Arabidopsis thaliana: one gene and its partners. The protein of the gene in region 3 interacts with the protein of the main gene of each other region in a pairwise test. Each region holds a gene or a part of one and is shown on either strand. Other genes may lie near its edges. The genes, in order: AT1G15710, EMB2816, AT3G15420 and AT3G13940.

Region 1 (4,156 bases), on a different chromosome or scaffold from region 3:
AGTCCAGCAATACGCAGATTTGAGAGATCCCATGATAACCGAATGTTCCTGTAACAGAAGCTTCTCAAGAATTTCGAGGAGATCAAGCATTCCTTCGTCTACGGTACCTTGAATCATGGAATTGGAGATATCCCGCAAAACAGCAGTTAGCTTGAGTTTTACACAGTCGTCGGAATCTACTGGTTTCAGAGCCGATAACAGTGGAAAAGCGTAAACCCTAGGATTTAGTTGGCGTCGGAGGAAAAATTCAGCTACCCATTTGTCCATCACTTCCATTTCCAAGACTTTGCAAGTAAAAGATGCGAAAACCCGCGATCAGTTTTCGCCGTCGGTGCGTGGTTAGGGTTACAATTTTGGGAAGAGGAAAAGCTCCGACCAACTATGGTGGCAACAACACACGTGTGAATCATTCAAATTTAAAATGTGTTTTTTTCTTTTAATTAAATAAGACGAGACATTCAAGCGGCCCATTATATAATCGGCCCATAACGAAACGATGTTGTCCTGATCCGAATCGGGTGGGTGACCCGAGATCATTGGAGACAGAGAAAAACAGTAATGACTTTTGAGCAATACAATGTTGATCCAATACAAATATGGCCGGAGAAGGAGACAATTTGTCCGTATTTGTTTCCGGCGACCAGAGGGATAAGCATTTCCACAGATACATTTAGAGAAAAAAAGACAAGTTTATTGATACCAAGCCAAAAGAGACCCCAACATACATATGAACACACCAAAATCCCTTTTTTATTTTCCACTCTTGACGTTTTCCAAAAAAGTCACAACTTTTTATTTTTGAATCTAGCATAATCCAATCAAACTTGTGATCTTAAGATGATGATGATGATGATGATGATGATGATGATATATCATTCATAGGAACAACACCACCATCATTGAGCAATTTCTGCTCAGTTTTCTTGGGCGATTGAACCTCCCCACCAAACATTTGCTTCCTGTATTGCTGATGTAATCTCCCAAACAGCTCCTTCTTAACAGACTCAAAAGCCATATCCAATCTCTCCAACTGTTCAAGAGCATTCGGATTATACATAAACAAACCGTAGAAAAGCTCAAAGCTATCACTCGATGTGTTCTCCACCAAATCCAACAACGTCTCATAACCTTTGGTGTTAATCGGCGAAGACTCAACTCCATATTTCTCCAAAACCCTTCCCATAGTATGCGTCACGAATTGCGATCCAGCTGCGTAATAATCATGCTTCTCACAGCTCATTTCAACCATCTTGCAACCTTCATTCTCAAAAATTCTTAGAAACTTCTCACACCTCTCTTGTCTTGAAGCTGCGTCTCCGATTCTCACCTTATCGTAGACAAAGGGCAAGCCAGACCAAGAATGCTTACCACTCTCAGGTCCAAACATTGGATGAGTACAGAGAATGTCAAACTCCTTAGGAAGGTATTTAATGAAGAGGGCTTTTGGGAATTCCTTAACGGAGAGAACATCGACGAAGAGTGTGCTACGACGGAGACGTTGGAAAGGGAATGATCTGAGGACTGATTCTGTGGAGAGGATTGAGGTACAGAGGAGGACAACGTCGGGATGTTGTTCACAGAGATCGTGAGGGTTATCGAAGAAACGAGCTCCGATTGAGTTTGCGGCGTCGGAGTAATCGGAGCGGGAGTGAGTGATTAGATCGTGGCCGTGTCGAATTAGGGTTTTGGAGAGGAATTGGCCGAAATTGCCGAAACCCAAGACGGCGATTTTGAGAGCAGAGGATTTGCGGTACTCGGATTTGAGTTGGGTTTCGTAATCGAAGATTTGGGCGGCGTCGATTGCTCGAATTCGAAGAGATCGCGGCGGGGAAATGAGGAATGTGGGTGAATTGCGGCGGAGATTGGGTGGAGAAATGAGGGGTTTCGCCGGAGAGAAATGGAGTAGCATTGTGAGTAGTGTTGATTGAGTTTTAGCTCCAAAGTTGGGAGCTTAGAGAAATCTGTGAGAATAGAAGAGGAAGAAGCGGTTGCGCCAAAGGAGGAAGAAGATGCGAGCGAGCCTCAAAAATAAACGGATCAATTTTATGTCGTGGCCTAAACGTGGTGATGCTGATTGACCCAAGAAAAACAAAATGCTAAATACACAACAACACAAGGACCATAATGGAAATAAAAAATTGAGGTCAAAATTAAAAGTCGTTCCAAGGAAATTTGTAGGTACTGTTTTGTATTCATTTGTATTTAGTAACCCGCATTTACAATATTTCTTTTTCTGAAGGACTAGAGTTTTTATTTGTCCATAATTTTATTTTGATTTGTTACTTTAAAGTTCAATCTCTTCCTATATATGAATCTTTAAAAAGAAAATTTCGTAATTTTCATATGCTGACTATAGTTGTTGTTTTTTGGTTTTCTATTAATTTGGCTATTTGTAGTAATTTTTATTAGGATTTAGGAGGGTTATTGATATTTCCCTCGTTTTTCTCATAGAAAAAAAAAAACAAAAACTCTAATTTTGACTTTTGTAGTAATTTTTATATACTGACCCCTAATAAACATGATAATTACAGAAAACCCCTCAAGTTCTCTTTCTTTGCTCATTTCTTCACGAGAAGATGAAATCTTAAACCTCTCAAGTTCAGGGTCTTCTTTCCCAAACGAAAATGACAGGTTCGATCTCGACCTCTTGGCTCTTGTCGTCTCCTTCGAATTCGAATTCGGCTTCGAGCTCAGAGTCCTACTCTTTCATAGCTACCTTGAAACCAGTTCGTTATTATCCGTTTCAATCACTGACACCAAACCGGATTTCGTCGAGATCTCCGTTGCCCTCAATTCAAATTCGAGCTGGAATCCGAGAGTTACGAGAACGAATCGACAGTGTGAAGAATACCCAGAAGATAACGGAAGCGATGAGACTCGTGGCGGCAGCTAGAGTTCGTCGAGCTCAAGATGCAGTCATAAAGGGTAGACCTTTCACTGAAACTCTTGTGGAGATTCTCTACTCAATTAACCAATCTGCTCAATTAGAAGACATTGATTTTCCTCTGAGCATTGTTAGACCCGTGAAGAGAGTTGCTTTGGTTGTTGTTACTGGCGATAAAGGATTGTGTGGTGGTTTCAACAATGCAGTGACCAAGAAAGCTACTCTGCGAGTTCAAGAGTTGAAGCAGAGAGGAATAGACTGTGTTGTGATAAGTGTAGGTAAGAAAGGGAATGCTTATTTTAGTCGGAGAGATGAATTTGATGTTGATAAATGTATTGAAGGAGGAGGTGTTTTCCCAACGACTAAAGAAGCTCAAGTTATTGCAGATGATGTGTTTTCCTTGTTTGTCAGTGAAGAGGTTGATAAAGTTGAGCTTGTTTACACAAAGTTTGTGTCTTTGGTGAAATCTGATCCTGTGATCCACACTCTGTTGCCTTTGTCGATGAAAGGAGAGTCTTGTGATGTGAAAGGTGAGTGTGTTGATGCTATCGAGGATGAGATGTTTAGGCTAACGAGCAAAGATGGGAAGTTAGCTGTGGAAAGGACCAAGCTTGAAGTTGAGAAGCCTGAGATCTCACCGTTGATGCAGTTTGAGCAAGACCCTGTTCAGATTCTTGATGCAATGATGCCTTTGTATCTCAACAGTCAGATTCTAAGAGCACTGCAGGAATCTTTAGCGAGTGAGCTTGCGTCGAGGATGAATGCGATGAGTAATGCGACTGATAATGCGGTTGAATTGAAGAAGAATCTGACGATGGCTTATAACCGAGCGAGACAGGCTAAGATCACTGGGGAGTTGCTGGAGATTGTGGCTGGAGCAGAAGCTCTTCGAGAGTCTTAGGTAGAAACTACAGCTGTGTAAAATCATTTGTTGTTTGTGGTAATAAATGTCATGAAAGAATTTACAGATCATGAGAAATTGAGAATCGTTTACACCTAACGCCGACAAAAGACTAACAGTAACAATAAATTCCAATTATGTCTCGAAGAAGACAACCAATTTAGGAAATATAAGCAGCAGAAAGTAACGGCTAAAACAAGTCTCGACCGAATACTTGGTGGATTTCTAAATTCTAAACAGAACAAAAAGAAAACAGAAAGACAGAGAGTGAGAGAAAGAAACATCATTTGGTTGGTTCTTTAAATGAGCCTCATCAACAAAAAAGGTTTTTTAACCACCTACGGTAAACGAAAATAAGAATGGTAAAAAAG
Region 2 (3,719 bases), on a different chromosome or scaffold from region 3:
AGGAGAAAAACTAAAGTTACAAATACTACAAACCCAAAATATACAATTATACAAACTATATTATGATATCTACATATATATACATGACTATATATTCTAACTAGATAAGGATCCGTCCGATGGACGAATTTATTTTTTTATAACTAAAATTAAATTCAGTAAAAATAATAAATAATGACGTTGTAAGTAGAAATTATCTTTCAAAAGTAAAATATATTTATTTTTACTGTTTATTGTGTTTTTCACCACTAATATTATTGATTAAAAATTATTTGAATGAAAAATATATCACATTGACTAAAACCCTTTATATATAAAGATGATCTATCAACGTTGACTAAAAACTTTTGAAATCATGACATATGATAAAACTTTTGATTGATAACTTATTCATGATAATATTAGTTACTAATTTTGAGAAAAAAATCTATTATATTATTTATAAAATGTGATATCCGTCAATGCTGAAGATAAATGGTTTTAGTAGAAAAGCATTTTCAGGCCGATTTGACCCGACTGAGTTCAAACGGATGTATGTGGAGCTTTTACAAAATAAAGTTGACTCATTTTTAGTTATCTATTTTGTATTTACTTTATCAGCGTTGGATTAAGTAAGACAATGACAATCTTTGGAAGTTACATCGTCTCGTTGGAATACGCACAAATGAAGTCTCACTCAGGCTACGATGACCAATCCAAGCAATAGAGGAGAGATTAAGAGTCTTAGAGTCAAACTGGTCTGCAAAGAACTTTATAAAGTGATGAGGATCAAATGTAGAAGATTTGAAGATGACATAGAAGAAATTTTCGAATTCACATGTAATTATAAGTCTTTTGGTTTTGATTCATGAATAAAGTGATTCTTTCTTCGTTAATGATTGAGATTTCGGTTTAGATTTTTTTTTTAGTCTAAATTAAGGTCAACAACACGTTTGAATCTTTATTCATCTTTTTTTTACGGCTCTAATATCTCTTAATTTTACTCGATTTGGTGTTATTTAAATTTCGATTCGGCCGTTGAATACCTGAAATTTTGCTAGGTCAAGTTATTCAAATCTTTTTAACAGAGATATTTACTATTTGCGAGTTTATAAATGTGTGTGCATTTTTCGTAAAAGAATCAAAAATTTCTTTTTTGGAGTTTTGTGTCGATAGATGGTTAAGAGATTTTACCAAATGATTTACTTTACGACTTACAAGTACTTCACAAGTTCATAGTTAAATTTTAAAAGCGTTGCTCAGAATTAGAGGTGGATCAAACTTATGTTTCGTTTTAATTTTATTTTTGGTTAAATTTGTTAGTAATTGTTTTTAATAGGTTGTGCCGTTGTGGTAAATTTGCTTTGTGTTTACCAGTTATCTTGTTTTTTAAACATCTATTTTATTAGATTAAAAGTAAGGAGTATAATGACAATGCTAAATTTAGTTGTCTTTATTGTAATTTCTATTCAGATGATGTTTATTCTTCTTAGCTAACTGAACAATTGTATTACGATTTTATTAATTCCTAACTAATATCCCCTTCCAATTTTATTTCGGGTTTAGTTAACAATTTAATGTTTAGTTATCGGTTTATGGTTCAATTTACGGTTCAGTTCAAATAATATGGTAACCATGGTTAGGGATTTAAACCAGAGTCCTTTACGAGATCAGAGTTAAAAAACAAAAAGCGTCACTAGGAAGCTGCGACTATTTGACTGACTCTGATTTCACGCGACTCCTTGTGAGATTCTCCGATTGCTTCGCCTGAGTTTCTGGGTTAACTCTCCACGCCGTCACTTTGATCTTTGCTTTTCCGGTGAGGTTTCTTCATCCACTTGTTGATTTCCGAATTCACACATTTTCCGAATCCACTTGGGGCCAAAGAATTGCAAACCCTAATTTTTAATCATCAACTCTATTCTGAACCAATTTGATTTCCGTTTTTTGCAGATCTTTAGGGTTTTTGTTTAGGGAATTGTCGAAGACTCTGCTCTAACATGGTAAAGTTTAACCTAAATTGAAGTAGCAAAGTATCATTGTTATATGAGTCGAGTTAATTCTTAAGCGAGTGTTTGTTATTCACAGTCTGGAAGAAAAGAAACGGTTTTAGATTTGGCCAAGTTTGTAGATAAGGGTGTGCAAGTTAAGCTCACTGGTGGTAGACAAGGTAATAAAACAAGTGTTTCTCTCATTATGCTCCAAAGATGATGATTCTTTCTAATGTTTTCTCTGAGATTTGTTTGATAGTTGCTATGTTTTTTGCTTGCAGTGACTGGAACTCTTAAAGGCTATGACCAATTGCTTAATCTTGTTCTTGATGAAGCAGTCGAGTTCGTTCGAGGTATCTTTTATCTTACCTATATCTACTGCATTGATCTTGTTAGGCTACAATTCTCTAGTGGAATCCGCCTCTTAGTAAACGAATCTCTGTATTGCTATGAAGTTTATTACTCTGGTTCATACAGATGTCTCCATGATGCCATTGGAAGATATATGGAAATTTTGATTAGAAGAGACTGTTTGATTGCTTAATCATGTTATGTTGGTGATATGAATGGGATGATTTCATTCTCTTAGCTAGATTTTGAAACTAGAAGTGGGATCATATTTCCATAGATCTAACTCAGTTTTATGACCCTTGTGTTATGTTTTGATCAGATCATGATGATCCTTTGAAGACTACGGATCAGACAAGACGCCTTGGTTTGATTGTATGATTCATTTACCTTCTTTTTTCATTACTATAAGTGTAATCCTGTTTAGTGCAAATAATATCATTGTTTCTTCTAGCATCGTGTTATTTGTAATGGAGTTCCATAGTTTAGATGCTAAATCATGATGGTTTGTCTTGTTTTTAGGTTTGCCGTGGAACAGCGGTGATGCTTGTCTCACCAACCGATGGCACCGAAGAAATCGCTAACCCGTTCGTTACTGCAGAGGCTGTCTAAAGACTTTCTTCTCAAAGAATATGTCTCTCTATTAGTTTAACTTGGCGATTTAGAGAGTATTTCATCTAACTCTCTGGTGTGATGTTGGAAACATATATGTTCAATTTAAACAATTTGGAACATCATGGACACTTACCTAACTTCGTTCTCAAATCTCGTTGTGCCAAAGCACAAAATCTCCTTAACCAGAACTGAAGTAAACCGGAAAAATCGAATGTCTGAGTCTTCTCGTTACTGAACCATGGATTTATAAGCGAGTGATTTGAAATTTTTGAAGTTGTTTCCATAGTTTTAGTGGAGACGATGAAGTCAGTAATGTCAAAGATCAAACTTTTTAGACCAGTCGTCACGTTACGTTGTTCTTACAGCTCCACAGATCAAACTCTTCTTCTTAGCGAATTTACCAGACTCTGTTACCAGAGAGACCTTCCCAGAGCTATGAAAGCAATGGATTCATTGCAAAGTCATGGTCTTTGGGCAGACTCTGCAACTTATTCTGAGCTTATCAAGTGTTGTATATCTAATAGAGCTGTTCATGAAGGGAATCTCATTTGTCGTCATTTATACTTCAATGGTCATCGACCAATGATGTTTCTGGTTAATGTTCTGATCAATATGTATGTAAAATTCAATCTTTTGAATGATGCTCACCAACTGTTCGATCAAATGCCTCAAAGGAATGTTATTTCTTGGACTACGATGATTTCTGCTTATTCTAAGTGTAAGATTCATCAAAAGGCTTTGGAGCTTTTGGTTTTGATGTTGAGAGATAATGTGAGGCCTAATGTG
Region 3 (3,178 bases):
TACACTTGAGGTTCTACGACTTGACGGGAACCCATTAAGAAGGTATAAATGATAAACACTGATACATTAATAAACACAAGAACTTTCCAGATCGATTGATTTTCTTTTTCACCAACGTTCTTAAAACAGTATCAGGAGGCCAATTCTAGAAAGAGGAACAAAAGCTGTGTTGAACTACCTGAAAGACAGACTTCCAGATCAGTAGCTTCTACAACATTAACATCAACACCTATGTTGTTGTTTGTAAGATTTGTGTGAACACCAGATTGATTTTATTGATGAGAAATGCGTGTGTCCCTTGTCTAAGATATTTTCACTTTTGTTGGTGTGTAATCCAGTACGTCTGGTTCTGTGATATGTACTACAAGTCTATAAACTCCAATGGCCTCAACAGGAGAATTTTTTTGTAACAAATTGGTTTCTTCTTTTTGTTTCTGCATTTTTCATTGTCGAATGCTAATTTATAACTTAAACTTTAAGAATCTTTTGAAGTTTGGCAATAAGCAAGTCCAAAAAAATCTTTTAACATGAAATGAGAATTATCATTCCTAATCATTTAAAAAAATTTGTAACCTTTCTACACATACCCATAACTCAGCTCTCCAATGACTTAAACAAGGGAAAAACTATTACAAATTGTTTGTTTTTGTTTCTCCATCATCATTGTCTAATGCTGCTAATCTAAACTTAAGAATCTTGTGGAGTTTTGCAACAGGTTCAATTATCTTCTTATGTGGCATCTGGTTTTCACTTGCTGAAACTTCTTCTGCAAAACCAAAATAAAAGTAAAGAAACCTCAAAAATCAGCTTCAGTAAAAACATCAAGGGACAAAAGAAGTACGTGAACCAATAAAGATGAAAAGTGAAACTAACCCTTTTCAGAGAAAGCAAGGCATGTACCAATCGTTTCAATATATTCTCCAACCTGAGAGATCATCAAATCTAACACGATTAAGAATGGTTTAAGCAAAAGAGTTACTCAAACTCAAGTTATAGAAAACTCACCAGCTTGATTTTGCCATCAATGGTCAACACCGGATTCAAAGTATCCAAACCCTGAGAAATAATAAACAAAAGTCAAAACAAAACCAATGCAAAGAGTTTAACTAAAGAATATGGATTTGAACTAACTGATAAAGTATAAGGAGCATCTGATGGAATCTCAATGTGCCTTGAAACTTCATCAAGATCAATCATAACAAATTCCTCCTCCATCTATCTATCTCTATCTTTTCCGTTGAATCTTTCGAGAAAATACGAAAACCTTAAGTGATGGAAACTGAAGAACAAGCCTGATTAAGAGTAAGAGGAAGATGAAGATTCGTGTCAATCGATTCTCTGCTTCTTCTTCTTCTTCTTCGTCTGTCTAAAAATTGCTCTGTTACGAGAGACTCACTTTTGGGCCCATTACTATAACCTAAAGCCCAAAATATGGAGGGCCGATTCTTCATCTTCTCACTTCTTTTTCTTCCACGTGTCAAGCACGGAAACTACATCCAATCTCAGACCGTAAAACTAAACCGGAGGATTTTGTGAAGCCGGAGAACCGGAAATAGTTATGCAAATAACCAAGTTACCAATTTAATTTGAACATAAACCAAGCAAAAGTAGTGGTGAAGCAGAAAACACATAAAACTCTCAGCTAAAGCAATAAAACAGAGTACATTCAAGAGCCGACGACTAAGTAAGCCTCAAAAGATTCTGCAAACAGAGAGGAACAATCGCCACGAAAGAAGCTTAAGAGGCAAGATATTGAATTTTCCCCTAATTTTCTATTCGTCCTCACACGTCTTTCACCATTCTCTTATATAAAAAAGTTCTTTTTAGACTTTTTGGTTTCATTTGTTTAGTGGGCAACCAAAAAGTCAAGACCTTTTGCTTTCCAGGTAAGGATCTATCACCACTAACCTCTTTTCTTCTTCTCGATTCCTCGTTCCCTATTTTCGATTTCAATTGTACGTTTTTCAATCGAAAGTTTTCTCCTTTTTGAGGGATTTGTTTAGTTTGATTGATTGTGGATTGTTCTGTTCTTCGTTGCAGTTCGAAGAATCTGGCGTGTTCAGGTGGATTGATTCTTGCGATCTGACCCTTCTCATGATTAGTTTCCGATCTTCGAATAGACCAACTGCGAGATTCTCATCTATAACTCCGTTTTCCTATTCGATTTCTTATCTCTTTCTACCATCCAACGTGTTCTTCATACATTACTTCAATTGCTCTCGATTTCGCCTCAAAATCTGATCCTCTAGTAGCTTGAAGCAACCCAAAGTCTCGTCCTTTACGTTCAATTAGGTCATTTTGAAACCCTGTTCTTAGAATTAGGAAGGGAAGAAATGGCTGATCGAAACTGTTTGATTTCGTTCGAGGATCTTCCTTCTCATTTGATCTTGGAGGTGTTGACCTCTGGGAGGCTTAGTGCGGTTGATCTACTTAGCTTGGAATTGACTTCTAAGGTTTTCGGAGGGAGCCATGGATTCTATCCTTTGAAATTCAGATCATTAGCTGATTATGCGGCGTCTCAGCTTTGCTCTATGCACCCTGTCTACGTGGGAATGGGTTTGACTACACAGAAAGAGCTCTTTGCCAATTGTGAGGGAAACTGGAAGCGGCTTTTTAGTTTCTTGCAGTCAGTTGAGCAATCCTCAGATATGGTTGAAACCTCTCAAGGCAAAGTATGCTTTCTGTCATTTCATATAGTCAGTAGTTTTAGGTAGTTCAGTGAAGTTGCTATGGAGAAAGTTGATTCTTGGTTAATTTGGTTTAGAAGTCTCAGATGCATTTCTTTTATTTTTTCTGCAGATGCAAATTGCAACAGGAAAGTATCACACTTTGCTAATCAACAACTCAAAGGTTTATTCTTGTGGTGTAAGTTTGTCCGGTGTTCTTGCTCATGGCTCTGAAACTACTCAGTGTGTAGCATTTACACCTATAGAGTTTCCGTTCCCTGCTCAAGTGGCTCAAGTCTCAGCCACACAGAACCATTCTGCTTTCGTATTGCAATCTGGACAGGTTGGTAGCTTCTGTTTCACTTAAAACCTATCCTGTGAGTATATTGTCGTTTGCCATAATCACTCATATTTGAAATCCGGCACAGGTTCTCACTTGTGGGGATAATTCATCGCATTGCTGTGGTCATTTAGATACTAGCCGTCCAATATTTAGGCCTAAGCTTGTTGAG
Region 4 (4,327 bases), 610 kb from region 3:
TTCCCGGTACTGGTCCAGACCAATACAACGTTGCTTCATACATGTCTGTAACACTAAGCTGTGACCACCGCGTAATAGATGGTACAGAATCCGCCTCTCATTCCTATTGTCATTATTAATCATCACCTCATCGAAAACGTCTAATAAGTCATCTTCCTGTGCAGGTGCAATTGGAGCCGAGTGGCTGAAAGCATTCAAGGGCTACATCGAGACCCCAGAATCTATGTTGCTCTAAAATTCAGACGCACACACACATCAAAAGCTAAACTCATAAGAGTCTTCTGACCTCAAATTTCTTTCCCACAACATATTCTACCAGATTTGATCAGCAGTAGGCAATGGCCTTTAAAGTTGAGTGTTTTGCTATTCTTTAAATCATTGAGTTGACAGATTTTTGTCTCAAAATAAAATCAGGAATCCAACAATTTCACTGTGCACTTGTTTTTTGGCTTAATGCTTGTTCATCATGGGTTGGCAAAATAAAACCCATTTACTTAATTTTATTAATCAACTCCAATAAATATCTCTTTCTTCTAATAAAATGTCACTTAGTTCACTATCATGGACTTAGAGCAGTTTGCTTGCTTAAATGCCAAAACATCATATATCATTAAACCCAAGAAACAGATGTCTTAGGAACTAAAACAATTTATAATATCTCAACAGACCGTCAAAGAAATATCATTAAAATAGCAGAAAATATGTAAAGATAGAACAAAATCTTCTCCTAGATCGTCATCACTTTCGTGCCCTGCGCCTCCGGTTAACCTCCGGGAAATTGAGAGGGGTCGGTAAGGTAGCAACCGTAGTAGAATTCTGCTTCAGGAATTTGCAGCCAAGCTGTAGAAAATGTTTCCTCAGCTCAACTGTGCTTATCCTCAGATCTTTTGCTATGTCTTCTGGATCGGTCATGAAATTATCCACGTGAAGGGATAGCACAAGAACGTAGCTTATCAGAAGGTTGATCTTGTCAACAGGTATCCTATCTGATTCAGAATCCTTGAACATGCTGTTGAATTTTTGACGGAAGATGTCTGGCATCTTGTGGTCTTTAGCGGAATCGTAACCATTCATTGAGTTTCTGTCCTTGAACTTAACCAGATGGGTGAGAAGCGTTGCAGCACCACAAACCGTCTGCTTTTTCATATCGTCCTGCATATGTAACAAAATGACATACATACATAAAGAATCTTCTGAGCAGTAGATAAAACCATGAGAAGTTCAGAATCCATTTAATCAGAGCAAACCGCGAAAGTGGTGCAAGCTAACATAAAATATTTTGCATCCAAGAAAATAGTCATAATTTTACCTTGATATCTCGCAATCTGTACAATCTGTTGCGGACAAATACAGGGTAAGCCTCAGTTGCTGCTTCAGTTTCCTGTTGCAGAAGCCAGTAAATATCTTCAAGAAAACTCCAATCCCCCTTTTCAATGATCTTTTCTAAGGGATAAGCTTCATTTGCAGTCGTTGCAGCGGTATTGTAAGGAGGAATGTTGCGTGCAACAGTAGAACTGGTGCCTTCAAGAGCAGCTGTGTTAACACCTAACTCACTTAGTTTCCCATCAAGGACCTTCTGAGTCGCAGCATCATCTCCCATATATAAGGCACGCTTCTTCTTATCCTGCATAGAGACACACATTCTCACTCAGACATATAATCCTCCCAACGAATCTCACGACAATCAGTTCTCTACTAGTCTGGATACCAATAAGACAGATACTGTAGGAAACAGTAGAATTGGTGTTTTCAGATGCTGTAGTAACATACCCGAGTAACAGCTTTTTTTGTATTATAACGATCGCGTTCTCCTGTTTTTAGTTCTTCAAGTTCTTTGACGACAGCACTTCCTGAAGCTTCTTCCTCATTTGTTTCTTGAGCTTTAACTCTAGGCTCCAATCTGATTATCTACAAGTAACACAAAACCAAACTCAAACTCTCAAAAATCATTTCTTTTCTATTCACAACCATACACTCAAAACATTCCAACTAATTCAAACCAATTAATCACCAAAATCAAAACAAGGTAACAGAATTTAAACCTTATTGTGAGCAACAGGAAGAATCCTCAAAGTTTTAGCCTCTCTATTAAAAACACCAACTCTATAAGTATTCGTCTGCATAGCAGCTTGCTCGCCTGTGTAATTAGTTCCGACGAACTCAACTCTTGCGCCTGGAGGACTTACAACAACCTGAATCCTCTTCTTAGAATCATCCTTATGCTTGTAAACAGTAACCTTGGGAGTTTCATGAACTCTCTTGCCTGTTTTTGGATCTACTTTACAAGGATCGTATCCTGTAGAGAAATAGGCGACGATCGGAGAGATTCTATCGGGTCTCTCGGCGACTTGCGTGACTTTGAGAGTAACTCTCTTGTCTTCTTCGTTTTCATCCTCTGTTTCCGTTGCTATTTTTTTCCCTTTCCTTTGCTTCTTTTGTAGTTGTTGTGGTGTATTGAAATCTTCTTCCTCGTTTCTATAATCATTCTTCTCTTCGCCTTCCATGGCTACTGAGGTTTGGATTCTTTTAGTCTATCGAAGAAGCGGCAGCGATTCAGAGAAGGGTTTACTGGAAACTCACTAAATGCTTAAACCCTAATTTGGTTATGTTTCGGGAATTTATTACATAACAGACCCTTGTTGTTTGTCCGAGTCGATAAAGAAATCTTCACAGTTTTTTTTTTTGACCCCAAACTTTTAATTTGTTTAGAAAGATCTACACCGTTATAACGACGTCTACGGACTACGGAATCTAAACCCTGGCTTTTTCTCTTAGCTAAAACGACACGTAGTTCGCCTGAAACTTAGAAAACAAACACACGCTGTTTGCAAAGATCCCAATTTACATTGATCTACCTCCAAAGTATCTAAACTCTTCTTTAAAGCTTTGGCCACATAACCTTCTTTTAAGTTTTTTTTAACTATGGATTCTATTATCTTCTAATTTTTTCATCATTTCTAGACCAAGTTTCTATGCTGGAACAAATGTAAAATTTTGATCCAAGTACACCAAATTCTTAGTTCGTTTTTAATATAGATATTTCAGGTTAAGTGTATATTGGACTGATATCATCACAACTAGTTTTCACTTTTGACAGTGGACTACTATCGGATCGGTTATTCTTTGATTAGGGTTCTTTAACACGTTCTCTCTCTTTTTTTCGAGTCCAAAATAAAGTCTTGTCGTCCAACTAGCTAGCGTAGGATTTGGTGAACTTGGATACATATATTTTTATTCGTCGTCAAACTTACCTAGCAACAAAACAAGTAATGCTGTACTATTTTATTTTATTTTGATAATCACCTGATCACCTTACCCAGATACATATTTAAGCTGACGTATCAAATATTTGTGTAATATTATATGAGTAACATTTGCAGGTATGTATATCTAATAAAAAATTTAAGAAAAGAGTAAATCGTGGTGTGTGATGTTGATGTACGACCACAGTTTTCTTATGCCACTTACAACTTTTGTAATAGTTGAACATAAAAGAGCTAGCGTTGTGGATAGATAGATGAAAATTAATCTATACAATCGATTAATTAACATTGCCAATATTCAACCACTAGATCATGACTCTGTTACTTGTTAGTAGCTTAATTTATCATTATGTTGAAGATTTTATATGTACTAATGTCACTGTTCACTGTTGCGCAATTAATTAATGTTCTAGTTTTTTTCTCCGCAATTAACTAATGTTCAACTTCAACTTAATTTTGGTTTGTTGAATGGTATGCAACGACTGTTCTTTATCCGCTATATATCTTTATCTTTTTATACCACAAGTCGTATAAGTCATTAGATACAATGACAAGATGACAAATGTAGTACTATGAAAGAAAAGACACGTTGAAAGAAGAGTGACACAAATGAGAGATATGATCTCCCAGAGTCAAATTTGAGGTCTTGCGATTCTCCTATAAACCTCAAAAACTCTATTTAGTTAGAAATATATAAAAAATAACGACGACGCTTCTTCCCTAATGTCGCTATCGTTGACTGACTTGATCAGAATCATATAGTTCTCAAAGAGTAGGTTTTTAATTCCCGTACGTGATCAACAAACAAATGGTTTCAAATTAGACTTTTGCTGATCAAACCAGAAATTTCTATCTCCCTTTCCTTTTTTAAAAAGACTCGTTCTTTTTTTTCCTTTATAATCTCGACAAAGAGAGAAGTTACATATATAAATTTTAAGAATTATAACTCTTTTGTAAAGCATTCATCGCTTCAAATCATGGAGATCAACGGTCAAGAAGGTCATCGATACGAAGAATCATCATCAGAGTGGTTCGTAAAGTATCTAAAACGTCAAGGCGATTGG

Evidence for each region.
Region 1: the proteins of AT3G15420 (region 3) and AT1G15710 interact in a two-hybrid assay, tested with the Arabidopsis thaliana proteins (one large-scale study listed by BioGRID).
Region 2: the proteins of AT3G15420 (region 3) and EMB2816 interact in a two-hybrid assay, tested with the Arabidopsis thaliana proteins (one large-scale study listed by BioGRID).
Region 4: the proteins of AT3G15420 (region 3) and AT3G13940 interact in a two-hybrid assay, tested with the Arabidopsis thaliana proteins (one large-scale study listed by BioGRID).

Annotation. Positions count from the first base shown.
Region 1 is NC_003070.9:5,402,258-5,406,413, reverse strand, and holds AT1G15710 (prephenate dehydrogenase family protein), read right to left. Parts: upstream 2,285-4,156; 5' UTR 1,910-2,284; coding exon 833-1,909; 3' UTR 504-832; downstream 1-503. Other genes in the region: TRFL5 (TRF-like 5), read right to left, coding at 1-276; ATPC2 (ATPase, F1 complex, gamma subunit protein), read left to right, coding at 2,625-3,785. UniProt on the Arabidopsis thaliana protein: Involved in the biosynthesis of tyrosine. Has a weak prephenate dehydrogenase activity.
Region 2 is NC_003071.7:1,178,327-1,182,045, forward strand, and holds EMB2816 (Small nuclear ribonucleoprotein family protein), read left to right. Parts: upstream 1-1,644; 5' UTR 1,645-1,798; intron 1,799-1,890; exon of another isoform or gene 1,891-1,932; 5' UTR 1,933-1,979; coding exon 1,980-1,982; intron 1,983-2,067; coding exon 2,068-2,149; intron 2,150-2,251; coding exon 2,252-2,323; intron 2,324-2,640; coding exon 2,641-2,693; intron 2,694-2,840; coding exon 2,841-2,930; 3' UTR 2,931-3,186; downstream 3,187-3,719. Other genes in the region: REME1 (Pentatricopeptide repeat (PPR) superfamily protein), read left to right, coding at 3,234-3,719. UniProt on the Arabidopsis thaliana protein: Component of LSM protein complexes, which are involved in RNA processing. Component of the cytoplasmic LSM1-LSM7 complex which is involved in mRNA degradation by promoting decapping and leading to accurate 5'-3' mRNA decay.
Region 3 is NC_003074.8:5,207,075-5,210,252, forward strand, and holds AT3G15420 (Transcription factor TFIIIC, tau55-related protein), read right to left. Parts: upstream 1,436-3,178; 5' UTR 1,216-1,435; coding exon 1,132-1,215; intron 1,057-1,131; coding exon 1,006-1,056; intron 926-1,005; coding exon 874-925; intron 767-873; coding exon 630-766; 3' UTR 501-629; downstream 1-500. Other genes in the region: AT3G15410 (Leucine-rich repeat (LRR) family protein), read left to right, coding at 1-42, 130-205; AT3G15430 (Regulator of chromosome condensation (RCC1) family protein), read left to right, coding at 2,334-2,672, 2,800-3,009, 3,095-3,178.
Region 4 is NC_003074.8:4,599,909-4,604,235, forward strand, and holds AT3G13940 (DNA binding / DNA-directed RNA polymerase), read right to left. Parts: upstream 2,675-4,327; 5' UTR 2,505-2,674; coding exon 2,043-2,504; intron 1,909-2,042; coding exon 1,771-1,908; intron 1,625-1,770; coding exon 1,310-1,624; intron 1,153-1,309; coding exon 739-1,152; 3' UTR 514-738; downstream 1-513. Other genes in the region: AT3G13930 (Dihydrolipoamide acetyltransferase, long form protein), read left to right, coding at 1-81, 165-235; AT3G13950 (ankyrin), read left to right, coding at 4,241-4,327.